Mus musculus: one gene and its partners. The protein of the gene in region 3 interacts with the protein of the main gene of each other region in a pairwise test. Links are inferred from orthologs where the notes say so. Each region holds a gene or a part of one and is shown on either strand. Other genes may lie near its edges.

Region 1 (4,005 bases), on a different chromosome or scaffold from region 3:
AAATCCTTGGTAAACTTCATTAAGAAATTAGGACTCTGCAGATGGTAAAAGTGAGGCCCACCTTTAATCCCAGCACTTGAGGCAGAGGCAGAGGCAGAGGCAGGTGGAGCTCTTTGAGTCTGAGGCCGTTCTGGTCTATACAGCAAGTTCTAGGCCAACAAGGCAGGGTTGCATAAGATTACGTCTCAAGAAAAAAACAAAAAAGTGCCTCTCCCCCAACAAGCACAGGTGCAGGCTACAAGAAGAAATTCACCTCAGTAGGTGGTTTTAGAGTAAAGGCGTCAAGTTTACAGTAAAAATCACACACACGCACATCTCTAGGACTTAAGATATCTATGCTCATGAAGGTGGCTTGAGTTCTCCACTATTTCCAAAAACAAAGCAATGAGCTATTTCAGTGGTAAGGGCAGGGCACCAAAACCACATGCCCCAAACTGCCATCATCCAGTGGTCCTCAGTGAGCAGCTTACCGGATAGACATGTGTCCGAGTCCCACGTATGTCCATGCAGGGCCTAGGGTTCGAGTGAGGCCCAACACAAACTGTTAACGTACTTAAAATGAAACCGTCATGGGACGGACAAGGCTCATCAATTGAGAGCACTTTTGCTCTTGGAGAGGACCTAGGTTTGGTTCCCAGCACCCATGTGGTGGCAAGTGCTGCCTGTAACTCCAGTTCCAGGAGAACCGATGCCTTCTTCTGGCCTCCCATGGCATGAGGAACATATGCAGGTAAAACACTCATATGTAAATAAGTCTTTTAACAAAAGTCAATTTCAGGGCTGGTGAGCTGGCTCAGAGGTTAAGAGCACTGACTGCTCTTCCAGAGGTCCTGAGTTCAAATCCCAGAAACCACACGGTGGCTCACAACCATCTGTAATGGGATCTGATGCCCTCTTCTGGTGTGTCTGAAGAGAGTGACAGCGTACATGAATGAAAGAAAGAAATAAAGAAAGAAAGAAAGAAAGGAAGGAAGGAAGGAAAAATCAATCTCATTTTTTTTTTTTTTTTTTTTTTTTTTTTGGTTTTTCGAGATTGGGTTTCTCTGTGTAGCCCTGGCTGTCCTGGAGCTCACTTTGTAGACCAGGCTGGCCTCGAACTCTGAAATCTGCCTGCCTCTGCCTCCCAAGTGCTGGGATTAGGTGGGAATTTCATAGCTGACATCGTGCTATGAGGAAAAAGATTGGCACATGCCTGGCACTGATACAGTAAGTTTGAAGTAATACAACTCGGAAATGTGAAATCTACCCAAGGAACTAGTTTGGCATGGAACATTTCTTTTCTTTTTAAAGATTTATTTATTTTACGTATATGAGTACGCTGTAGCTGTACAGATGGTTGTGAGCCTTCACGTGGTTGTTGGGAATTGAATTTAGGACCTGTGCTCGCTCAGGTCGGCCTGAAGATTTATTATTATAGATAAGTACACTGTAGCTGTCTACAGACTCACCAGAAGAGGGCGTCAGATCTCACTTCGGGTGGTATTTCAAAAACTTGGGAGTTCACCGGTGGGGAGGAGAGAGGTCTCCTGATAACCGATCAACGACACCCCCCCACCCCGTCGCACTGACGGGCGTTTTACGCTGAGGTAACCCCCCCCCCTCACCTTCAACTCTTCTGGGCAGTAGGAATCTTGTTTTCAGGGTCCAGTTCTTCTACTCCAGCCTGGGTCATGAGGTCAGCGATATTCTTCTCCAGGTCGTCAATCCGACTGCTCATGTCATCTAGTGGCACAGTTAAAGAGCCCGCACGGCAGCATCACCTCACCTCGGCCTCTCCCCCCCAGGCCCCCGCCCACTGGTTTAAACAGCTGCTTCCCCAGTTTCATCTGGCTACAGTGACAGCCTGGCGGTCGGGGTTCGGGGGGACTGGGGTGAGTTTTCTTCCCTACACCTCCAACTCTAGAAGTACTCCCAGACAACGGTTACCATGCAAACCCCTTTACTGGTGTTCTGGAGGGGCACCAACAAGGGCTTGGGGTAGGTCTCGCTGTGTCTCTGGCTCTTGGCACAGTCCTCCACGGGAACACAATATAGCCAAGATCAGGAAAGACACTTCTAAGTGGGGACGGGGAAAAGGCTCGGCCGTTAAGAGCACGCGAGGCTCCTGCAGAGGGCACGAGTGTACTGGGCAGTTCACAACCGCCTGTTACTCCAGCTCCAGGGGATCCAACGCCTCTGGTCTCAGTCACTCCCAGTACCCCCTTATACATATAATTAAAAATAATAAACCCTTTGTAAAAAAAAAGGCAATTTCTAAATGACTAACTGAAATCTGTTTGTAAACCACCCCGCTCACCCCCACAGTTAAGAAACTGCCTCCAAATCAAAAGGATATTCCTTCCGATGATCTGGTCTGACATGATCTGAAACTTGTCTTGCATCTGCTGCAAGAGCGTCTCCACCTAAGAGAAACCAGGACAAGTCAGCCGATCCCAACCTATGCCGAGACCCCCTTCCTGGGACCGGCGTTGGGGAGCCGAGGACGCAGGCATGAAGGGGGGGTGGGGTGGTGGTGGTTCCCGGCTGGAGTGTGAGGCCTTCAGCAAGGGCCTGCCAGCTCGGATCGGTGTCCCTGCGGGTCAGGTCCGGAGGGTCCGGGTCGGGGCCGACCGGAGGGCGAGCCCCGCAGGTGCGCGGGCCGAGGCCGCTGGCCACACCCCACGCCAGGGCCGAGAGCGGCCCCGGGGTGTCCAGGCCCATATGAGGCTGCCGCTTACCACCAAGGTGATGTCCTGCATGGTCTTGGGGTCCGTCTCGGCCATCTCCCCGGTGCCCAGCTTGGCGGCGATGTCTCGGAACCGTCACCTACACTTCGGTTTCTCGGCGCAGACGCCCACAAGCCGACAGTTCTCGCGACTACACGGTCACGGGACCGCGAGGCATTGTGGGTGTTGTAGTTTCTGCCACGCACCGGAAGGTCCTAGGAGGCTTCAGATTGTCCTGCCTGCGGATAAGCTACGCCCCCCAGTTCTTAGCTCCGCCTTCATCTTCCGCCCAGTTCCACCCTGAAGGCTGAACCGAGAGGAAGAGGAGGAGAAAACGCCGGAAATGGACCAAAATTGTGGGGATTAGCGTTGGCTTCTTCCATGGATGTAGTTAGGCACTCAGGCCTTGCAAGGCGAAGCCGGTGACGAGCTTGCTTCAAAGTCTGACACTGTGAGTTCAATCTCTGTGATCCACATGTTGGAAGCAGAAACTCGATTCCCACAAATTGTGTGTGCACTGCTGTGACATGCATGCATACACACATAAACATACACACAAAATAAGAAAGTGTTCTGTTACTACTAAAAAACATTAGGGGGCTGGAGAGATGGCTCAGCGGTTAAGAGCACTCACTGCTCTTCCAGAGGACCCGGGTTCTATTCCCAGCACCCACAGGGTAGCTCACAACTCCAAATCTAGGAGACCCAACAACCTCACACAGACAAAACACAGTGCAGGCAGTGGAGGAGGCTGGGATAGAATATCGTGGTCATTTGAATACAAATGGCCCCATAGGCCCATAGGGACTGGCCCTATTAGGAGGTTTGGCCTTGTTGGAGTAGGTGTGACCTTGTTGGAGGAGGTGTGTCACTAGGAGGCGGACTTTGGGGTTTCAGAAGTTCAAGCCTGGCCAGTGTCCTGCTGTGTGTGGATCCAGATGTAGAACTCTCAGCTCCTCTTCCAGCACCATGTCTGCCTGCACATGCCATGCTTCCTGTCATGATGATAGTGGACTAGTCCTCTGAACTGTAAGCCAGCCCCAGTTAAATATTTTCTTTTATGAGAGTTGTTGTGGGTATGGTGTCTCTTCACAGCAATAGATGTCCTAACTAAGACAGATCCAATTCTTTACATTTATGGACTGGAGTGGGGGTGTCTCTGAGTCTAGCAAACCAGTGAAGGTACGCGGCGTTAGGATATAAGGTCCGATTGTTCCACCCTACCTTGGGGCTGTTATAGGGAGTTGGGCAGCTTAAGGAAGACTCTAGACAGGGCAGGAGGAGTGGCTGATCCCCTCTG
Region 2 (3,960 bases), on a different chromosome or scaffold from region 3:
GGTCTTGCTATGTAGTCCAAGTTGCCTTTGAACTCAGTCTTCCTGCCTCTGTTCCTCCTAGTCGCCCATTAGAGGCATACACTACCACATAGGTTCCCATTAGATTCTAAATTCATATTTTCATATTATCCCACCACCCCTGTCAAAGGACTGCCATTGCTCTCTGTTTTTATTCATTTGAGATAAGGTTTCATTATGCAGCTGGCTGGTCCGGCACTCAAGAGATCTACTTGCCCCTGCTTCTCAAGTGCTGTGATTAAAGGTGGATGCCATCACGCCTGATTGCCTCTACCTCAGCCAGGAAGCTTTACAATTGTCTCCCTTGGGTTCCACTGTATTCAGTCAGCACAGACCAGGTTCCTGAATTGTCAGTCCTGGAGGCCCACGAGATTGGCATGGAGATGGCAAACCCCACCAGTGGATGGCTTTGCTTGGTTTCTATTATTTTGGTTGCCAATTATTCAGCTGGTCAGATGAGAGTGGGGGACTAACCAGGTAGGAGTCAATTTTTCAGATCAAGAAGGCCCTTTCTTGATGATTCTGAAGAGGTCTGTGGCTTACCTGGTTCATGTTGATATTTGATATCTCAACCTTGGTGTAGCCTAATTCTATTGCTATAGAAACAGGGAAACTAAGACCCAGGAGTGGAGAATAAACATGTCCAAAGTCAAGCAGCAGCTAAAAGTGGTGCTGGCAAGCACTCGGGCCTCCTGTTCTCCATATCCTCAGTGAGATGCTAGCTACACTCTGCCTCCACTTCCCAAGGCCAGGAGGCTTTGCACAAGTGAGTGATCTAACAGCTCAATGCTAGGACCCCATCTTTGAGTAAACCCGGGCGGGGGGGAGGGGAGATAACACACATACTGTCTTGAAAAGCAGATTCTTTTGAGTTCTGACAGAGCAGGTTAGCCCATGAGATGACAGGTGTTAACTCCCTCCCCTCACCAATAGCTCCCCCCTCACCTAGACCCTTGGCTTTCTTCTTCTCCTGTGGCCTCCGATGGTCTCGGTCTCCAACTTCATCACTCGCTCGGATCTCCTCTGTTCCAGGCTCTCCCTTAGAGGTCTCCTTCTCGCCGTTGACGACTGGAATGCCTGGTTCAGGCTCCCCATTCCTGGCTGCATAGGTTCGGGACTTCTCCGTGTCTTCCGGCTCAGTGGGCTCACCCTGTGCTCCCTCCTCAGCCGGGCCTCCCTGATTGTTGTCCACACAGTATGTACTCAGGATGTCTTCCAACTGCCGGCTCAGCTCCTCAGAGACGTCACAGAGGGCCCCAGGCTGAGCTGCTTTAGCTCGAGCCCCTACAGCAGGAAAGATGAAGACACGGGATTAAAGTTCAGTGGTCATACCACTCGCTTGGATCTTCTTTAAGCCCAGATAAACACACTGGTGTGGGTTAAATGTTGTTTTATTTATTTATTCGGTTGAGTTAGGCTCTCTCTACAGGGCCCTGGCTGTCTTGGAACTTAGTATGCAGGCTGATCACAAACTCCGAGATCTGTCTGCCTCTGCCTCCTGAGTTCTGTGGACAATGGTGAGGGACACTAGGCCTGGCCTCAATTTAAGTTTTTTTAAACCCTAAGTTTGTTTAGTTATAAAACAAGTATTTCTAACACCCAAACATACTTGTTATAAAAGCCAACTGTGTAAAGCACCCCTGTGTGAGGAGCAGTTGGCATGTGGCAGACGCTGCACCTCATGAAGGACAATTACCCACCACTGGCAAGTGTTCTCTGGGAATATGACTTTGCTTACGGGGTGCTTCATTTGACTGTCTTCGTTTAAACCAGTCAGAGCATGCTCCCAAGGTTGCGCCCCACGGCTAAGAGTGGGAAGGTTCACCACCTCCCCAGGAAACAAAAGGATCACACAGAATGAGCATCGTTCATTCTATAGTTCCTTCTTCTTGGGTAAACACTGGCCTCAGAAGACAGACCAGTACCAGAAACTCCTCCCTCTGCCCACTGGAAAAGCAGAGCTGGCACACACCCTCGGTCTTCCCAGGAGCCTGGCTTGTGGAACCTTCGGCTTCCGCCCCAGGAGCTGTCTGTCTGGGTCGTCCATGGGCTCCCTCCGGTCCTGCTTCCCGTTGCCCCGGGCTGCCCTTCGAGTTGGAGTGTTTGGCAGGCCCATTCTTTTTGTCTTGGTTCTTCATTGTGATCTGCAAGGCCAGAAATGGGGCAGATCCTTTAAGGACCCAGTTGCTTTTTTTTTTCTAGACTTCAAAATTCTTCTTCACAACTAGATAAGAAATCCCCAAATCTGACGCTCGAAGCTTCAAACAGACCGGTCGGTCTTCGCCCGGGATTTCACGGTCCCATGGAAGGTTTCCGAGAAGCTGCCCCTGAGTGAGTGAGGGAAGGAAGAGGCCTCCTTTCTCCCGAATGCCACTTCTCGGCACCACACGGCTCCCTCTCGGCAGCCGGAGCGCGGGATTGGCTCAGAGCCGCAGACTGACGTGGCGGGATGCTCCAGTCCCGATCGGCTCCCCGCCCCACCAGGTCCCACGTGGGACCCCCGCGCGCGCGCGCGCACAGAAGCCACCCACACCCCACGCGCCCTCTAGACCTAGAGTACGCACGCGCAACACTGGGGCAGGCCGCCCTCCCCCCGACCCCCCGAATTAGTTGTTCCTCTACGGCCAACGCGTCCTGGGCCACAGACCCTCTGAAGAGCTCGTCCCACGTACAGCCCATAGACATACTTCACCACGGACGTCCGGCGGCGTCCTCCTCTCCGGCCGAGCACCGGAAACCTAGGTAACTGCTGCCAACAGGACCGCCCTCTCCTGCCGCAGCCAATCAACAGCAAACGCGGGCGCGGAGCTTGCTGGGAAAAAAGAAGTCAAGGCGGCTTTGGAGGCGGGAGTGGGAAAAACTACGAGCCCCTTCATGCCTCGCGGCGCCGCACAACTCCCGAGATGCAACCGAAAAGCATAGGAGCCAAATACCCTGAGGGTCCGAAATTATGTCATTGGTCGAGAGATTTTTGTCAGCCTCTTTTCTGGTACTGAAGCTATGATTGGCCTTAAACTTTGGCATTCTGGTCTTTTTTTTTTCTTTTTTTTTCATACACTCATTAGTCCTTTATAAACATGTATGACTTTCTATGATCTCTGAGAACTCGGAAGAGGGATAGAAAGGTAAACTAATTTGTTATGTGCCTGGCATTTTTTTCCCCTCTATTACAATAGAAGGTTTATAATAATTCAAACGTTTTTTCCTCGTATCCAGTAGCTTGATTCTCATAATTACTCGGATTAAGTACAAAATACTCAGTGATCTGTGAAATATACGATAGTACAGAAAAGCCTAGTTAAAATAAAACAAACTACTATTTGTTTGTTAGAGACAACATCTCGTTATATGTGGCTTTGGCAGGCCTGGAACTCCCTATGTAGATTAAATTGGCTTTGAACTCAAGAGTTTTGTCTGTCTTTGCCTCCCCATGGCTTGGACTAATGGCAAAGGCCACCAGGTAAAGGGTAAATAGTTTAAGGCTCCATCAATATTGTGTGGTTATAGCAGATTCAAAGCTGGAAGCCTGACACCAGCACCCATCCTTTAAAAATATTTCTTTGCCCCCTGAGTCAGGGTTTCTTTGTGTAGCCTAGTGTGTCCTAGAACGTAATCTTTGACTATGCTGGCTTCTAACTCAGAGCTGCCTACCAAAACCGGTTGGAACCATTCTCCGACACCACAGCTGTTCTCTGAGGCAATTTATGCCCCGCCTTCTAACCCCACCAGCTTGGCAATTACTCCCTCAGAAAGGGATTGAAGCCAGGGAGTTTGGCTTTAGGCAGGTTGGTAAACTCCCACCCTACCACCCCTGCCCCACTTTCTGCAAAGTATCAAGTGTTACTGCTTTAAAATGTTAGATTTTTCTCGTCTTTGTTCTTCATTATGATTTGCAGTGCCAGTGTAGGCTCAGAACATTAAAAAAAACCCCACAATTGTGAT
Region 3 (3,500 bases):
AATTCTATGTTGACATTAACATAAGGAAATGAAGGTAGCTATGTCTACTTTCTCTGCCCTCTGTGGGCTTCAGCAAGTGTATCTGTTGTTTAGAACATTTCTTTGGCATGGAAATCTTGAAGCTGGCCTTGAATGTGCTGGGGACATTATGTCAGTCACAACTATACCCACTGGTGACTTTGGGACCACTGCCACTTTGCTAAGCACTGTCCTCAGTCAGCAATGACTTTTCCTGCCTGAGATCCTATCATCGGGGAGCTCTTATACCCTCTCTTATGACTGGATCTTATTAACAGTTAGGAATTTTAAAGTGCTGCCATCCGCAGACACAGTTACATTTCTGTGTGGGCAAGTTAACCTTAGCATTTCCCTGGCTGTAGTACAATGTCCACAGTCAGCCAAACAGCTGGCGAAGACGTGTCATAGCACCAGACAAAAGCAGGACGAGTTTTTATAAGTCTAATAACCCAAATGCTTATCTTTTTTGTTTTGAAATATTTACCATTCGAGTCTGAAATGTTGACAATATGTCCATTTGTTGTGTATGAAGAGAGCATATTTAGGTAATATTCAATGATAAATGTTTAAAGAGAGTAAAACAAGCTGTGTCATATGTTAAAATGTAAAGGCGTATCTCATATAATTAAAACTCAAAATTGGTAGAGGGCTAGGGAGAAGACTCAGCTGGTGAAATACCAGCTACGCAAGTTTGAGGGCTCGAGTTCAGATGGGAGAGAGGAGGATCCAGCGACTCCAGCTGAGAGAGGAGCTGCAAGGTCTCTGAGAGACCCAGTACACACACACACACACACACACACACACACACACACACACACACACACACATAGCACATTCACGTGCGCGCACACGCGCGCTCGCGCGCACACACACACCCACATGCAAGAAAAACGGTGTGCCACAGAGTACTTTTCATTAGCAAGGCATTTTTAATAAAAATATTTAAAATAGTTTTATAAGGAAAATGTTTTCATCCCCTTACAGATAACAAAAGTAGGACATAAGGCAGGTGGGCCAGGGAGCCCACAAGCATATTAGAACTTTAGTACACTTTGGCAGTCAAATTCCAAAGCCCATGTTCAATCCTCTGTGATCTGTCGGCTGAATGATAATTTGTAAGGAAAGAAAGGTTATCAACTAAATTAAACTTTTGAAAAAAAAAAAAAAAAACCTCTTTCAAAGAACAGCGTTTTTCACTTTTAGTTTGTGACATAGAGATTGAAGATAGAGTTCTGAACCTATCTACACGGTTGTATAGGTTTAAAGGCGCTAAGGAAGAATCCACAGTTCAAAAGTTTTATCTGTGCTCCAAGACTGATCTTTGTATGCCCACACTAATTCACGTTTCTCAGCTGTCATCTATCCCAGGCCTAGAGGACGTCACAGTTGAAGTGTCTCCTTTAAATGTCACTGCTGTCACAAACGGATCACATTCTGAAACCACTTCGGAGCAAACGCAGGTAAGCACCCGAGTTGCAAGAGATGCAGGACATCTGGGTTGAACAGGACAGCCAATGCTAAATATGTGCGAAATTCTTGGTACTCAAATCGTAAAACCTTAAGCTTTAAATAGCAATCCAAAATTAACAAGACCCAAAGGCTATATATTTCAATTTTCTGAAAAAGATAGAGTTTTGACATTGACTTGTTTGAATCCACATTCTACATCATGATAAGAGTCACTGTATAGTCAGCTTTTACGCTATAATATTCTTTCATGTTTCTATACATTTAAGTTTTTTACTATTTATCTTAAAATCTCCATTACATATACATCTCAATAAGTACTGAAATTTGAAACAATCACCAAACTGGTGAGCCACTAAAATAATATCAGCAAAGTAGTCACCTGTGTAGGTACATTTTACGTTTGCACATAGAAGTGCCCTTACCCAGTCTGTTAGGTCACCTGTGCTCATCCTCAGAAGAGCCCTGCGGCCCCTCGTAGTTGCTCTTCTATGCCTGATTCCACATCTCGGATTCACCTAGGCAAACATGGAGAGTATTCAGAAAAAATAATTTGTATCTCTAATGAACATTCTTCTTTGTTTGTTTTTGTTTTTCGAGACAGGGTTTCTCTATATAGCCTGGGCTGTCCTGGAACTCACTTTGTAGACCAGGCTGGCCTCGAACTCAGAAATCCGCCTGCCTCTGCGTCCCGAGTGCTGGGATTAAAGGCGTGCGCCACCACACCTGGCTTCTAATGAACATTCTTGTCAGTATTCCTTAAACAGTGCAACTATTTACATTGTAATAGGTACCATAAGTAATCTAGAGAAAGTTAAATTCAGACCAAGGCCACTTTATATAGGAGACTCTAGCAGATTTCAGTATCTGTGGGGTCTGAAGCCAATCTCCTGCAGATCTCAAAATACCTAGTACTATTAATCACTCCTAAATTTCTTAATTTGCTTTGCAGACTCAGAATCATCTTTTGTGTGTCTGATAATTTTTGAGTTGTAAATTAGTTTGTTTAGACTATCTGGAAGTTCTTGTAGCCTTCCTGGATTTATACAATTGTGATAGTTATTGTATTGATCAGCTTAATAAAAGGACTCTTAAGGCGTTTTAATATTTAGATTGACCCCTCTTTTTTCCTTCACTGACATTAACTAGTGGACTTTTATATAAAATATTTTGAAGCCAGGTGGTAGTGTACATCATTAATGCTACCACTCAGGAAGCAGAGGCAGGCAGATCTCTATGAGTTCAAGGCCAGCCTGGGCTACAGAGTGAGTTCTAAGTCAGCCATGCTATGAAAAGAAATCCAGTCTCAAAAAGCCAGTGTGTATGTTTGTGTGTATGTGTGTGTGTATGTTGTGTGTGTATGTATGTGTGTGTATACACACATATATATAATATTTTGAAAGGAACTAAATATTGCTTTATGAAGATTTCCATGGTTATGATAGTCAAATCAGCTATGCACTTTTGATATATATGCGTACATGTACAGCTCTGGCACATCAAGGTCATCCCTAGCTAAATAGAGAATCAGAGGCCAATCTATATGAAACCCCTGTCTCAACACAACCCAATAACAAAACCACCCTTTTGTAACTCTAAACTATGAGTCAAAATCCTAAGATCTGCATACTGATTTCATACAACTTTAATCTCAGATCTTTGTTGTACAGAAACTAGACTGTCTAGTTGTACAGATTGAGATCAATTGGAGAATAAAATGAAGGACAGTTGAGAGAAGGGATTATGATGCTTAATGGACCATTCACATAGTAAAGGCATGCCAGTATGTAATTAAACCCTGTGAAGGCGTGTTTGTTGGTTGGTGGGCACAACATAACTACTGGAAGTTGAAGACTGTTGAAGACTGGACAGAGCTCTCATTTGCTCTGCTGAGCTTGGGTGAGCCATGCATAAAGACTTTTAGAAATGCACTTGGATATTTTCTCTTTTCATGGGTAATGATGTTTCAGACTTCTATTTGCAGATGAATATTTATACTCATATATATTTCATTC
Region 4 (3,500 bases), on a different chromosome or scaffold from region 3:
TTCCACAGACTATACTCTGGAGAATACCACTTTTTTCCTTTCCCTTCTGTTCCCGGATTTACCATCCTCCATGAGCTGTCTTCTTCGTTTTGCGTACTATGAGCAAGGATCTGTACCCCATGCTTTTCCAGTTCTTCCTTCAGCCTGTCCGGGAAGCGTGAAGGACGAGAATGAAAGCAGAAAAATCAAGAAAATATGAAGAGACATACCGGCAGAACAGGGGAAACAGCTGCCATTCACCTTCCTGGGAGAAATGAGGACACAGGAGCTCCGTGCCTACCTCTGCCGTTTCTGCTGTAGCTGGTGGCACCTCTGCTGCAGCTGCTCGTGCTGCTGAGCTGCAGCCTCTAGGAACTCCTCAGCTTTCTTGTTCTCATCCTTGAACATCTGCCTGATAGTGTGGAAAGAAGTCAGTGCTAGACATTTCCTCCTCCTGCCCCACCCTGCATCTTACATTGCTGCAGCTGCCTCATGGCTTCGGAGGAAGAGTCCCTCAATGAGGCTGGAAGAACCCTCAGGCCCGCCCAGGGCACACAGCCGCTGTCTCACATCCTCCAGCTTTACTTTCATCAGTTTCTCTACAGAGAGAAAGAGTAATAAGAAGGTAAGGGCAGGTTGGTGCAGCTGAGAGCCACCCTTCTGGCCCTGACCTCACCTTCCTTGAGCAGCTGCTCCTTGCTGCTGTCCAAAACACACATCTCCTTTGTCAGATGTTCAGGCTTCTGGGGTGGGGGGGCACAAACAAGAAGATATGTCCAGATCTCCTGGCTCCCCTGAGCTTCAGAGAAGCCTGTCTACATCTCATCATTTCTCCTCTCAGTAAGTTTCACTTCCGAGGACCCTGCCCCTTGGTGTGTGCCAGCTATGGTTTATGGATCTCGTCATTCCCTCTCCTCGGACCTTTAACCCTGTAATGAGGTTCTAGGGCAAGTATTCGAAACCCTAAAATCTGCAATCCTACAATCCTGAGACACTCTGAAGACTTAGGTATTAGCGTTTCTTCCTCTCTTCTCTCCTCCTGGCCTCCTCACTGACATAGAGAACACTGAATGGACACAGCAACATGAGTGAATGGTAAGGACCAATACTGAAGACACCAAGTATCTCAAGAGTGGTCACCAGGGACTGGATTTACGATGACAGCAGGACCACCAACCAATGCTTGCACAGGGACAAAGTATAATAGGTAGCATAGTGTTGTATGACTCACATGAAATTCCAAGGTGTCCTTATGTTGACTCATCAAAGTCTCCAGATGTTCTTCAAAATCCAACCTAGGAGGCAACCACAGAGCCATGATGGCCATGAACTACCACAGAGCTAGGCCAAGGTCTGAGTCTATATAGCACCCAAGGACTTCGTGTCCACTCTTACACAAGGAATAGCTTCACCCCTTGACCATCCAGGACTATGGCTGGCCATCCCGGGCATTACTATACCTATATCACGTCCCCAGCCCAAGCCTCACACCTTGAGGTTTACCTCAGTTTTCTTAGTTTGGCCTTCTCTTTGTCGATCTGGGAGTTCAGGAAAGAAATTCTCTCTTTACACTCCTGCAACATGCTGTGCTTCCTGGGAAAGAAACCAACACTCAGCCATGTTCTTTGAATGACTCTCCTGGAGGGAGGGCTGGGGGCTTCTATTCTGTTCCTCTGTATTCAAGCCTGTGTCTAGCAGAGCAGATGGTGTGGGAGGTAACAGGAACACTTAGGGAAACCACTGCAGGCATGGCATCTTACCTCTGTGCCTCACTTTCCTTCTCCTGGCAGTGCAGCTGCATAATCCTCAGGGTCTCTGTAAGGATAACAACAGTGCCCTCTGAGTGCTTGCTAAGGCATCTAATTTGGCAAATAGAAAAAAACATATCACATCAAGTCTGTGGACACTTGATTGGATTTTGACATTTTCTGGGTCTGGTAAAAGCCATAGGAATGTCACAAGGTTGGGAGTTCTTAAGTTTCTAGCTACTAGAGAGAGTGGGCTTAGATAGGGTATCACAAAGCCTAGAAATGGGTAATATGGGAATACCTTCCTTTCTGTTCAAAATATCCTTCAGACGTACTTTCTCTTCACGTACTAGAAAAGATGATGAAGGTTCAGGCATTAGAGACCAAACACAGAAACGTCAAGGGCAGTCATACGAGAGGCAAGTATAACTGTGACCCTAACCCAGATGCAGTTTCCTTGAGGTAAGTTCCTACCCCTACGGGTATCCACATTCCTGTAAACACAATGTGCCCTAATTTTCACAAAAGATATCCATGTCCATGTACAACAACCACTGGGACCAGGAAAAACAACACCAATCAAAAGGGCTATGTGATCAGGTAATGCAAGATGACTAAGAAAGACATTTCTAATAATATACAGCTGCTGGTGTGAGGCAATAACTTGTATTATCTAGGGCAATACATGGAGGATCATCTCTGCAAAGGACTCAGGGCAGAACAGGCCTCAAAGGCATTTCCACAGCCCTCCTGTTAGAAGATGGGACTGCTAGAAGAAATGAGGTTGGAGGAGAAGTCATGGCCCGGGTGTTTGCAGGACTGCATTAGAAGTCTAAGACATCATAGAAACCTCTAGTGACTCTCAGTTAACTTACGTAAGTCCAGTTCCTTCTGCAGGTTGTCCCAGACAGTCTGGGCCTCTCCAAGCTCCTCACTGGCTTTCTTTTTTGCTTTACCAAAGAGGAGGACAGACATTTGGTAAGTACAGCCTCAAGGACAAATGAGGAGATTTCACACTCTCCCCCCAAAGAAAACTTAGAGGGGGCCCAGATTTTACAAAGCAGGAAACAAGGCTTTCTAAATCCTGGCCCTTCTTGCTAGGCTCGGGTGGCAGCAGGGCTGTGTTCACAGGCAAATGACTATGGCGGTTACAGGCAGAAGGGCCCTGCACTTATGCTCTCATGAAATAACTACAGAGACTTTAACAAGGACCCCTGTATTTCCACTTTTTATTGGGCCTGGCCAGTTAAAACTTGTAGCTGGTCCTGGATGGCAGCCAATCACTGAGCTCACCTTGCTGAACCTCATTAATACGGTTAATCAGGACCTCAATCCGGGGCTCTAGGCTTCCCACTGCAAAGCAAAAAGGAAGCTCATTATTGATAGAGTGTGTCTAACCTGGGATTCTACAGCTTTTACTTTACAGAAATCTCCTAAGCATCTCACGTGTACAGGTGCTACATTACGGTCTCAATCTAGGATTGTGGGGACAAGGAACAGACCGATAGAGATACTGAGCCAAGCTGTAGGAACTTCAGTCAAGAGAAATGAAGCAAGGGGAGAGGTCCATAGGCAAAGGTCAAAAAGTGCTTCTCAGATATGGGAAAGTGTCTTGGGGGGCTTCCATCAAGGAAGGCAGGCCCTCAGGCTCTCTGGGTAAAGCAGTGGGTGCCCTGAGGAGGAAATGAGAAGGAAACAGGATACATATGATCAAGTAGAAGGTGGCAGGATGTAAAGTGGAAGAGGTTATGGGTAAAACCTCTGGATCTAACA
Region 5 (4,243 bases), on a different chromosome or scaffold from region 3:
CTCTCTTAAGAACGGGAATTCCTGGGCGTGAAGGCCTACACTTGCTTTTAATCCCAGTGGCTCTTTGAGTGTGATGCCAGAGCAAGTTCCAGGATAGCCGGGGCAACACAGATGAGCTTTGTTCCAAAGAAACAACCAAAAGATAAAGAAAAAAGAAGAGGAAGGAAGAAGGAAGAAAAAGGAGGAGGAAAAAGAGGGGGAGGAAGAGGAAGAAGAGGAAGATGAAGAAGAGGAAGAGGGGGAGAGGAGGAGGAAGAAGAGGAGGAGGAGGAGAGAGGAGGAGGAGGAAGCAGAGGAGGAAGAGGAAAAGGAAGAAGAGGAGGAGGAGGAAAAGGAGGAGGAGAGTTCTCTTCAGGAGAGGCAGATAGCAGCAGCAGGATTTCAGGCCTCAAAAGATGGTCAGTCTCCTCAAAACCCCGGGCTGGTCCCAGTCCTCCTGCCCCAGGTCCCATAGCTTTCCTGACAGTATTTACTTCACTGTGCTAAAAGCCACAGGAAAGCTACCTCATTCAAGGGTCCATAGGACCTTGGAAAACTGCACTGGCCATAAAGATTCAAAGAGGAACAAAGGCTGAGAAGTCCAACCCCTGGTGTTCTGGCTAGAGGAGGAATCTCAGAGGCTGACTGACTGAAGAGAGAAGGAAATGACCTGGGTCCCTTTCACAATACCTGGGTCCTCCATAGTCCCCAGTGTCCTCCCACAGAACCCAAAGAAAAGGCTCACCAGCTTCCTTAAGGCCCAAGTGTCCCAGTACCCATCCACCATCAGTCCTCCACACACTGGGGCACTTAGGACAGTGGTTCTCAACCTGTGAGTCGACATCCCACAGGGCTTACATACCAGATATCCTGCGTATCAGAGATTTACACTAGGATTTGTGACAGCAGCAAAACTACAGTTCTGCAGTAGCAACGAAATAATTTCACAGTTGGGGGTCACCACAACATGAGGAACTGTATTAAAGGGTTGCAGCGTTAGGAAGGTTAGGGACTACCGGTTTAGGGGTTCTCAGCACTGGCTGTGCAGGGCTCAGCTAGGATTACCACTGGAGTGAGCAGGAAGGAAGTTTTCCAATACTGTAGGGCCCAGCGGCCCACTTGGGTCACTCCCTCTCAACCTTAAATTGTACAGGTTGATCTCTGGGATCTTGAAAGTGACTGGGGAGAAGTGGAGGAGCGGGGGTTGTGGCAATTACCATCGATAAATTACATTAAGATCTGCAAAATGGGGGGTGGGGAACTGGGTCTCTGATCCTGTCCCTTGCTAATCACAGCTAAGGGCAGCTGGGGTTAAGGTATCACCCTCTACTTCCAAAGACCAGCATAAAGCAAGGCTGTGCCCTTGGGCTAGGGCGGTGCAACCGGGATCAAGTAAGAGGATGGAGTGACAGACAGCTAGCTGACCCACTGGCAGAAAAGGCAGAATGTGAAATTTGACTGTACCAGCCAAATGCTCCCCAACTACTCCCACTGGGTTTAAGTCCTGCATGATTGCCTTAAAAAACCCTGTGGCTCTGGGGCTGGTGAAATGGCTCAGCAGGTAAGAGCACCAGACTACTCTTCCGAAGGTCCTGAGTTCAAATCCCACCAACCACATGGTGGCTCACAACCATCCCTAACGAGATCTGACTCCCTCTTCTGGTGTGTCTGAAGACAGCTACAGTGTACTTACATTAAATAAATAAATCATTAAAAAAAAAAAAAATCCTGTGGCTCCTGTTGGGCAAGATTCAGGCCCAAGATAGGTAAAGGACATCTAGTGGTGTCTTCCACAATGCTCATGTCTCCTAGACACTGATACCCATCCCACACAGGGACAAAACAATTGCAATGACTTCCCTATACCAAGTCCCCAAAAAACCCCGAACTCCCCACCCCCTTCTTCTAGTGACACCCACACAGCCATCTTCCTTCAGCTTTTGGCTCTCAGTCCCTCCACTGTCCTGCCATCCCCAGTTGCTGTGTGTGACTGTTAACAGGTGGCAGCAGGAAGGAAGTGGCCACAGCAGCTAGAGCAGAGGTCCCTGTTTATCCCTGGCTGTTTACAGCCTGCTCAGGTCCTCCAGAACTCAGCACCATGGCAACCAGGGTGATGTCAGACCCATCGTCTCCATGGAAATCGGCAATGGTATGGTATTTAGGTCAACAAGACAAACCTAAAACTGAAGCAGAAGTCTTCCTAGAACCCCTGCACTCGGGGTCCCAACCCTTGATACCAAAAAGCATCCCCGCTTTCCCAGGCCGGCACATCGGCACATTAATACCTTATTAGGAAGCCTGTCTAAGCAATCCAGAGCCCACTTAGCTGCCACCCTTCCCAGCTGTGATTTTAGGGCAGTCTTTGACCTCTAAGAAGAAAACCCACCCACTACTCTCTCTCCCCTTTTCACTCAGGCAGGATTTCACAAAAACTTCTGCTGTTTCTAAAAAAGAGAGTGTTCCCAGTCTGCACAAAACTGGGAAGTCTGGTTTGATATGCCCTTGATTGTCTCTAACTTCCTTCTCTGTCTGACCTTTAAAGGGAAGGACCTGGGACCACAAAAACTTGCCTGAGTTCCTGCTTCGGAATCATCTGTCTCCCTCCTTCCCCGCCCTTCGGTCCTGTGTTGGGCAGTATGTGGACGCCGGGGCTGCCCACTCCTTTTATACAGCTTTGCCCTCTTTTGTTATCTGGGGATAAAGTGGGAGTCTGTAACGCCCCTTCCCGGCAAGGACTCCTTTACCTGACCCAGCTCCTCGCTTCAGTCTTCAGCTTAACTTGTTGCAACCTCCCAGCCCAGGAAGACAAGAGGGGAGTCACGTGGCTAGTGTTTGACCAGTGAAAAGTCGACTTCCCCGCGGGGGGGGGGGGTGAGGGGGAACTTTTGACCAATGAAAAGCTGGACTTGAACGCCCAGGCAGGGGAGAGAAGGTCTACGCAGTACCTCTCTCCCTTGGTTTATCTTTTTTGGTGGGCAATTTGGTCTCCAGCAAAGTAAATTTGGGAGACCTCCCCTCTTTTCTCAGTGTCTAGTGTCTAGTAGGAAGACCTAAAACTGAAAGGTGCTGTCTGATGAGGGGGCAAGGACCAGGTGCCATGTTGGTCCCAGGATAGACAGAGACAGCTGTAGGATGGGGGATGGGGTCCAGTGCAAGTTGTGGGTTTAGAAATAGCCCTCTCACCACTCTTATCCGCCCCAATGCAGACTAAGGATGCCACTACTTTGGATATGGAAGACGGCCAAGCATGGTGGTGCCAGCTCCTGGGAGACAGAGGCAGGTGTGCAGGTGGATCTCTTGAGTTTGATATCAGCCAAATCTATATATAGTGAGTTCCAGGCCAGTGAGGGCTACATAGTGAGATCCTGCTACACATGCACACGCACACCCTGTGGGATGTCTTAGCTGGGTAAAACCTCCACGTGTGCACATGTTTGCACCTCAAGAGATCATACAGACACAAGATAATAAATTTTTAAAAAATTAATGGAGGGAGGTGCTATAATCCCACCACTGGAAAGACTGAAGAAGTGGATGTTGAAGTCCAGCCTGGGCTACTAAACAAATCCCAAACCAAAACCAAACTAAAACAAAAGCAAAAAAAAAAAAAAAAAAAAAAACTCAAACAAAAACAATGGAAGAACCGAGGCAGAAAAGCATCCACAAATTAAAGTCAGGGCTGGATGTGACCCAGCAGTGGAGCGCTGTCTGTCATCTGTAAAATGGAAGGGGAAGCATTTAAGAAATTTCAAATTTTTATGTGGATGGGTGTTTTGCCAGCATGGCTGTAGCATTCTAGAGTTACAGATGGTTGTGAGCTGCCACGTGGGTGCTGGGACTTGAACCTGAGTCCTCTGGAAAAAAACAGGAGTTCTTAACTGGTGAGCCATCCAGCCTGAAAACTCATATTTAAAACCAACCAACCAAACAAACAAACAAAAACCCCACCTTACTTGTGTGTGAGGATACATACCAGCCGTGGGACACAGGGCAGAGGGCAAGCTGCCATGTCAGTTCTCTCCTTCCACCCATGGGTTTCAGAGATTGAACTCAGATCCTCAGGTCAGCCCAAAGTATCTTCACCTGTCACCTCCTTGGGCACCCCAAATAAATGTCTGAAATAAAAACTCTGGACGCAAGGGAACTGGAAGGTTTAAATCCAGAGCTCAGGCCCTGATGCCAGAGGCCTTGGCTCCAACCCCATCTGGCTTCCGACTAGCCCAAGAATTGCTCCAAAAGCGGAGGTTCCCACATTGAGGATCTA
Region 6 (4,140 bases), on a different chromosome or scaffold from region 3:
TTGCTTGGCACTAAATGTGGGACTCCATGGCAGTGTAAGAGGGCAAGCAGAGAAGGTTGGGTACACATGGGAACCCAGAGACCAGGCTCAATCCAGAGAGCACGCAACTTCATTCTGGTAGACCCAAGAACAATGGCCAAGGTCAGGTAAGGAAACTGCTCAAAGCAGAACAACACTGTGTCTCCAGATGGTACTCACTGTCCACAAAGTCCTTGCACTCCTCCTTGAGCTCCACAGTCTGCTGGGTGACCTCTGGGTCCAACACTCGGAGCTTGTTCAGTTCATCAAAATGCAGCCCTGCCTCGCCCAAGATGTCCTTGGCCATAGCTGCAGAGAAACCAGCAGCGACCTGAATTTCATCCCAGACACCACCCCAGCCCTCCTCATACACCCATCCCTCTGCCTCCAGCTCTCAGCCTCACCTGTTTCCCTTCCAGGAAGCCCTAGAGGTCTGCTTTGAAGGGGTGACAGTGGCAATCAGGAGGTATGTCATAGGAGCAAGGGTCAGGAAAGAGGAAAGTCCAGTTGCTTGTCACAGACATCGTTCATTCAACATACATTTCTTGAGTGCCTACTACATGCCGACACTGCTAGATGCTGGGCGTAAAGATGAATGCAACATGGTGCCTGCCCTGGAGCAGCACAGCTTAGCTGGAGGAAAACAGACACGTGAACCTGAAGGATTATATTGCATCAAGTGATTTTTACAGAAATATCACTAAGCAAGGAGAAAAGACAATTTCAGTTCACTTGGGTGTATCTGGCCTAAGCTGCGAGCGAGATAAAAGCATAGTCATAAATCCCTGTTTAAGGTCCCAAAAAGGCTTTTCAAATGCATGCCCTGAAATGAAAAACAAAACAAAACAAAAAGGATGAATTTTAAAATGAGAGTTAAAAGCTAGCTATGGTCATGCGTGACTCTAATTCTAGCAACTCACTGTGTTGCTAGAAGACTGACACACGTTTAGGACCAACCTGGGCTGCATACTGAGTTCCAGGCTATCCTGTGCTACACAAGCCCTTGTCTCAAAAAAACAAAAAACAAAAAAACAATTGCCTTCCTGTGTTGTTCTAGTTGGATAGTTTGAGTATTTAAGAGCTCCTAGGGACTAACTGGACCAGGTCCTATGGAAGAGTTCATATGACATGAGACTGCAAACACTTGTTTGAACTCCTACTGCCTTCTGAGTTAACATGCATTTATCAAAAACAAAAACCCTTATTGAATCCCAGCTCCAAGGACAGAGTGAACATAGTGTCTCTAGACAGACAGTAAGCAAATAAACACAAACTGTGATCAGGGTATGAGGAACAGCGCTCAGTGCTCTGTCAGGATTCTACAGGAGGACATAACTCAAGTAGGCAGAGAGGTCAACAAAAGCCTTCAGAAAAAACAATCTGGGACCTAAACACGTCCAGAAAATCTTCTAAGAGAAGGGAGAGGGACATTGTGGGCATAGGGAAAAGCATATGGGGGCGTCCTAAGGCTGGAAGATTTTGACACAAAGGGTCCTGGGATCAAAACAGCAAGAGGGAGCAAGGCTGGCAACCGGCTATAGCTGGATGAGTAAATGAACTTGGGTTTTGTTTTGTTTGTCGAGACAGGGTTTCTCTGTGTAGCCCTGGCTGTCCTGGAACTCACTTTTGTAGACCAGGCTGGCCTCGAACTCAGAAATCCACCTGCCTCTGCCTCCCAAGTGCTGGGATTAAAGGCATGCGCCACCACACCCAGCTGAACTTGGATTATTTTTTATAATGATAACCGCTAGCAGTGGATTTCGGCAGTGCTTATTGATCAGAGTTGGAAAGATCACTCACTGCCTTGGCCAAACAGAGGGAACAGGGAAGAGCAGAATAGAGGCGTCCTTTCCAAATTTCTCACTGTGAGCCAAGCATCTCTAAGCAGGCTGCCTGCAGGTAAGTGGCACTCTGATAATGTTTGCAGAATGAATGAATTCATGTGGAAACAGAAGGCTGTAACAGAAGAAAAGATTTGAAGCCGAACGGGAGTTCAGAGATCAGATGATGTCTGAATTGACAGAATTTAGTAATGCTTAATGCAGCACTTTGGAGAAAAGTGAAGAAAGGAGCCAAACACGATTGCCATGGATCTGGATTGGACCGAGAGTATGGCTGGAAAGGACAGTTTAAAGAGATGGGTAAGATAGATATGGTACATAGCGGGCTATCAGATCCCCAGCCCACCCCTAACTCCCACCACAAATATGCTCCAGGAACGTGGGATTGAGTTTCCTAAGCATGAAGGCTGTGCCTGGCTCTACGCTCCCTGGCTCTCCCAGGTCCGCAGGCACAACAAATAGTTGTAGCTGTGGAGTTTGGAGAAGGCGTAGACACAGGAAGAACTGGGCAAATGGCGCGGCTGTCTTTACTAAATTATACTCCTGCAATGTCCGAACCTCGGTTCACCGGTGACATCGAGGGAGCCAGGCTGAGCTGAGTGTAAACCCGATCCCTAAAAACTCCGAGGTAGGGAAACCGCCGCTTTCCACCCGGTCCAGCCAATCCTCGGCGCTGGGTCACGTCGGCCTCCTCCCGTCCCAAGTCCTCCACGTCCCCGACCTACCTGACGAGCCGCCTCGGCAGCGCTCTGCGGCCCTGACGACTGTCGGTAGAAGCTTCTCTCCGGCAACTGCAACCGGCTGCTGCCACGGAGACAAGATCTAGGAGCCACACGTCACCCCCGAGTCCAGAAGCACCAGCATCCGCCCACCCTGCGGTGCTTGCTGGGAAATAGATGCAACACGCGATAACTGCCCACTAGGCCCAGAAGCCTTTGCTCAGGGGGCGGGGACTACGACACGGGAAGTAGATTTGTTCCCGAACCCGGAAGTAGAAGGAAGTCAAACGTCAAGTTTTCGACCCACTGCTAGCTCGCGCGCTGTGCATGCCGGGTCTTGTAGTCTCTTTCCCGATCTGTAGGGTTGGGCTGTAACTCCGGAGTCGGCGGGCGCAGGATGTGAGCTCACAGCCGAGATTGCAGGCAGCCGCAGGCCAGAGGTGGCACCGAGTCCGCTTGCTACTTGACTGAGACTCGGAGAGGCGTCCCCGCGGACGGTGAGAGCCAGAGGTGCGGGTGCAGAGGGGAAGGACAGGCTCTGCTGAGTCCTGGGCAAAAGGCACGGGATGGCGCGCGGGGATGAAGTTCAGGTCTTTTCTGGGGATGGGAGGCACCACGGATCTCAGTTTTTCAGAAGAGGAGGGGTGTGGCGGGAGAGCAGCCTACACTGCAACGAGAGACATGGGATGTTTCTCCATTTCCACTGGAGAGCCTTTGGGTGAAACATAAGAGCCGCTTCCACGATTTCTGACCTTTCTTGCCAAAATCAGCCTTCCCACCTCGCCGTACCTCGTGTCCTTCCTTTAGAACCCCAAGTCTTTGAACTACCGTGATCGTTTGCGCTTTGTTCTGCTTGGCTTCGCATTAGGTTCCCATAGAGACACGTGTATGTTCCCCAGCCCCAGGATTACCCCTCTATCCACAGGCGAAGTCCTGAGGAAAGAGCCCTGAAACTATCAGTGGAAACTTCATCCTCTCAGAAATTTCTTTCTAGGGCGTCACCTGCCATTGGACTCTTGGACCTAATTGGTCTGGGTGGAATCTGGTCTGACGTCATCTAGGACTCAAAGTAGCTCTTAGGAGGAAAAGAATAGATTAGCTCCGGATTTGACTTCCTCAGTTGGCAAGCCTAGTCACTTGGGTTTCTTTGATTTGGCAGAACGTGTTTATGTGCTTCCTTGATTCTGGGGAAATGGGACTGCACACAAAGTATGTGAGGAACTTGCTAAAACTTGTTGAGGAGTTGATTTTTTTCCCGCTTTGAGGTAAGGCGGTCAGTCGCTCACCAGTCTAGCATTGTAGTGTTACTGTCAGACTCCCGGAGCTCGTTTCCTCCATGTTCCATCACTGAAAGCAATTAAGCCATCAAAAGGATATGCTACTTAATATAGCACCAATATAGACCTTCCTGAAAGCCCCCCACTCCCGACCATTCCAAGGACATACTGAAATCTCTTCAGGGTCAGTTTTAGTTTAGCAAGCTGATGTATATACTTAATTCTTGTTTGAGGACCAGTGTTGTGGGTTTTACCTGTAAAACATGAGGAATAACAGGAAACGAC
Region 7 (2,472 bases), about 70 Mb from region 3:
ACTTGGCTCCGGTGCAAACAAGTTCGTTCGTCACCAATCCAGAGGACTCGGGAAGAAATCGTTCCTCTTCCTCAGTCTTCGTTGTTGACATTGAACATTTGTTTGCTTCAGCAGCTGGTAACAAGAGATTGCCCTTGGTGTCACGTGTGGAGCTAATTGCTTCCTTAGTGCCTCAGGATTATCACTAAAACACTCTAATTTCTGTAGACAACTAAGAAAATGAAGAAGCTGGAGAAGGACACCGCCACGTGGAAAGCCCGATTTGAGAATTGTAACAAAGCCCTGTTGGACATGATCGAAGAGGTGAGGACGCTCTTCCTTCCCCAACCCTGTCAAAAGTAATCATCAGAACCTAATAGTACAAGTGATTACGTTTGGAAAATAGGCTGAATTTCAAGGGAGACGTAACAGATTAAAATATAAGATCAGGAATAAGATCAAGAGTCACTGAGAAATCTAAGGAGGAGTCAGAGATCTTTGTAAACCTTAGTCACAGAATTGTTAGGTAGAAAACTGACCCCAGAATGGCACTATGCCTGCTGGCCTAGAAAGGTTTTGATGAAGGTCTTACTTGATCTTGAACTTCTACTGTTTGGCACCCAGCAAGTGCACTTAATGCATTGGTTTCACTGTGCTGATAGAAGATGCCAGCACATTTAGGGTATTTTACAGACAGATATGAAGAAATCTTTTTAAAACCTCCTCCAACAGGTATTTGGTAGCTGATGTTCTGCCAGGGCCTACAGGCTTTACAACTCTAAAGGCAAAGGTTTATGAGGTCCAATTTGAGTGGCAGGACCTACAAGTGAAGATCCCTTCATGGTAACAAGTAAAGAGGGTCTTACAGATCCAGGGTAGCCAGGGTGGGAATCAGTAGTGAGATGATTAGGAGCAGTTCTCTGCTCACTCTCACACCACTGTTACCAGAGAAAAGGAGAACTGAACGGTTTAAGCAGCCAACATCATGAACTGGTATGTGGTGCGTTTCTGTGGTTATAATTACCACTTTAGAGATTCATTCCAAGTTGCAACCAGTTCCCAAGATGTATGTATGACTCATCAACACTCATCAGATGGCTGCTGGAATTAGCATATAGCAGTTCTAGCAAGAAGACATATTTCCTAGAATACACAACACCCCGCTGAGAGTGAAGCCCAGGCCATCTTACTTATTTCACAGAAGATGTTGCCTATACCCTCCAGTTTTTAAGGAACAGAAGATTCGTGTAGGTTAAGGTGTTTATTGGAGTAGAAAGAAGTCTTAATAGGTTTATTTCCCAAAGAACAGGCAATAGTAATTAAAAGTCTTTTAGTCTAATAATCAAAACATCAGAAAAACAAAGAGATGTCCCGAAATGTTTGTTCAAACGTAGTAGGCAAATTCTAGTTTTGTTTCTGGACAGCATCGTGAGAAATTCACTGCTCATGTCGTGTGTGTGTGTGTGTGTGTGTGTGTGTGTGTGTGCATTTATGTCACAGAAAGCCCTGCGAGCTAAAGAATACGAGTGTTTCGTGATGAAAATCCAAAGGCTGGAGAACCTGTGTCGTGCTTTACAAGAGGAGAGAAAGGAACTCTACAAGAAAATCAGAGAAGCAAAAATGTCCGAAAAGGAAGACCAGGTTCAGCGCACCTCTGAGGAAGAGCCAGAGCCAAGCGTCTCTGAAAATGAAGAGGTGGACGCAGAGGAAGCCAACAGTTTTCAAAAAGCTGTGGAAAACCTGGCCACAGCTTTTACCATCCTTCATCATCCAGAGTTCACCCCAGACCAACCAACGGAAAGACAGCTGGCAGTGAATGGTCCTCAAAGTGGAAGTGATGTCACCCACCAGCACCCCGAAACAGCCCGTTTAAACCATCCCAGCCTTCCCGCTGATTCAGGGAGTCCTCGGCCCCCTGTAGGTGCTCAGGCTGTGGCGGAGGGCGTCTGTGAGGCCACACCTGCCCCTACAGCCTCCTGTACCCCTGCAGAGGCAGAGCTACAAAGTCAGGGTCTCCCTGCAGAAAATACCCCGGGTCCGAAGCCCCATAAACCAGAGGCAAACACTTCTGGTCAGGCCCCACTGTCCCCAGCCCAGGGCTCCCTATCTGTAGTAGAGGCAAAATATGATATTTCACCATCTCCAGAGAGTGAGGGAGATTCTGCTGTGGTGCCCGGCTGTGAGTCTAGGGAGCAGCCCCCACCAGAAGTCACAGACATCCCCGTAGGCCCTTCCACTGGACTCCCCAGAGAGCCCGATGCTTGTCTGAATGGAGTAGACTAAGCCTTGTTGATTCTTCTGGCTGCTCACCTGACTGCATCTTCCTCACAGAAGAAAGTCTGTGAAAGAAACTTCTAGGACTAGGAAGAGTTAGAGTCAAGACATTTTTAAAGTTGTACAGAACACTTCCAGTCTTTGCTGCTGTTTGCAATTTATAACTAATATGGAAATTCTCTGTGATTTGGCAGCCAAACACATCAATAGCAAATATAC

The links.
Region 1: the proteins of Washc3 (region 3) and Hsbp1 interact in binary tests that used the Homo sapiens proteins (3 or more experiments, as listed by UniProt). The two-hybrid records come from large-scale screens. The link is inferred for Mus musculus from reciprocal best matches to the Homo sapiens genes WASHC3 and HSBP1.
Region 2: the proteins of Washc3 (region 3) and Txlna interact in binary tests that used the Homo sapiens proteins (3 or more experiments, as listed by UniProt). The two-hybrid records come from large-scale screens. The link is inferred for Mus musculus from reciprocal best matches to the Homo sapiens genes WASHC3 and TXLNA.
Region 4: the proteins of Washc3 (region 3) and Syce1 interact in binary tests that used the Homo sapiens proteins (3 or more experiments, as listed by UniProt). The two-hybrid records come from large-scale screens. The link is inferred for Mus musculus from reciprocal best matches to the Homo sapiens genes WASHC3 and SYCE1.
Region 5: the proteins of Washc3 (region 3) and Pbxip1 interact in binary tests that used the Homo sapiens proteins (3 or more experiments, as listed by UniProt). The two-hybrid records come from large-scale screens. The link is inferred for Mus musculus from reciprocal best matches to the Homo sapiens genes WASHC3 and PBXIP1.
Region 6: the proteins of Washc3 (region 3) and Ift20 interact in binary tests that used the Homo sapiens proteins (3 or more experiments, as listed by UniProt). The two-hybrid records come from large-scale screens. The link is inferred for Mus musculus from reciprocal best matches to the Homo sapiens genes WASHC3 and IFT20.
Region 7: the proteins of Washc3 (region 3) and Txlnb interact in binary tests that used the Homo sapiens proteins (3 or more experiments, as listed by UniProt). The two-hybrid records come from large-scale screens. The link is inferred for Mus musculus from reciprocal best matches to the Homo sapiens genes WASHC3 and TXLNB.

What each region holds. Positions count from the first base shown.
Region 1 is NC_000074.6:119,343,333-119,347,337, reverse strand, and holds the start of Hsbp1 (heat shock factor-binding protein 1), read right to left. Parts: upstream 2,801-4,005; 5' UTR 2,763-2,800; coding exon 2,718-2,762; intron 2,403-2,717; coding exon 2,336-2,402; intron 1,726-2,335; coding exon 1,607-1,725; 3' UTR 1,605-1,606; intron 1-1,604. UniProt on the Homo sapiens protein: Negative regulator of the heat shock response. Negatively affects HSF1 DNA-binding activity. May have a role in the suppression of the activation of the stress response during the aging process.
Region 2 is NC_000070.6:129,638,266-129,642,225, forward strand, and holds the start of Txlna (alpha-taxilin), read right to left. Parts: upstream 2,801-3,960; 5' UTR 2,706-2,800; exon of another isoform or gene 2,666-2,705; intron 2,541-2,665; exon of another isoform or gene 2,163-2,540; 5' UTR 2,157-2,162; coding exon 1,991-2,156; intron 1,303-1,990; coding exon 964-1,302; intron 1-963. UniProt on the Homo sapiens protein: May be involved in intracellular vesicle traffic and potentially in calcium-dependent exocytosis in neuroendocrine cells.
Region 3 is NC_000076.6:88,214,597-88,218,096, forward strand, and holds part of Washc3 (WASH complex subunit 3), read left to right. Parts: intron 1-1,370; coding exon 1,371-1,478; intron 1,479-3,500. UniProt on the Homo sapiens protein: Acts as a component of the WASH core complex that functions as a nucleation-promoting factor (NPF) at the surface of endosomes, where it recruits and activates the Arp2/3 complex to induce actin polymerization, playing a key role in the fission of tubules that serve as transport intermediates during endosome sorting.
Region 4 is NC_000073.6:140,777,855-140,781,354, forward strand, and holds part of Syce1 (synaptonemal complex central element protein 1), read right to left. Parts: intron 3,081-3,500; coding exon 3,021-3,080; intron 2,678-3,020; coding exon 2,603-2,677; intron 2,077-2,602; coding exon 2,029-2,076; intron 1,795-2,028; coding exon 1,740-1,794; intron 1,573-1,739; coding exon 1,483-1,572; intron 1,275-1,482; coding exon 1,211-1,274; intron 723-1,210; coding exon 656-722; intron 579-655; coding exon 455-578; intron 392-454; coding exon 281-391; intron 145-280; coding exon 63-144; intron 1-62. UniProt on the Homo sapiens protein: Major component of the transverse central element of synaptonemal complexes (SCS), formed between homologous chromosomes during meiotic prophase. Requires SYCP1 in order to be incorporated into the central element.
Region 5 is NC_000069.6:89,435,261-89,439,503, reverse strand, and holds the start of Pbxip1 (pre-B-cell leukemia transcription factor-interacting protein 1), read right to left. Parts: upstream 2,801-4,243; 5' UTR 2,724-2,800; exon of another isoform or gene 2,550-2,723; intron 1-2,549. UniProt on the Homo sapiens protein: Regulator of pre-B-cell leukemia transcription factors (BPXs) function. Inhibits the binding of PBX1-HOX complex to DNA and blocks the transcriptional activity of E2A-PBX1.
Region 6 is NC_000077.6:78,535,021-78,539,160, reverse strand, and holds the start of Ift20 (intraflagellar transport protein 20 homolog), read right to left. Parts: upstream 2,801-4,140; 5' UTR 2,585-2,800; intron 652-2,584; 5' UTR 423-651; intron 328-422; 5' UTR 326-327; coding exon 199-325; intron 1-198. UniProt on the Homo sapiens protein: Part of intraflagellar transport (IFT) particles involved in ciliary process assembly. May play a role in the trafficking of ciliary membrane proteins from the Golgi complex to the cilium.
Region 7 is NC_000076.6:17,841,219-17,843,690, forward strand, and holds part of Txlnb (beta-taxilin), read left to right. Parts: intron 1-207; coding exon 208-303; intron 304-1,479; coding exon 1,480-2,262; 3' UTR 2,263-2,472. UniProt on the Homo sapiens protein: Promotes motor nerve regeneration. May be involved in intracellular vesicle traffic.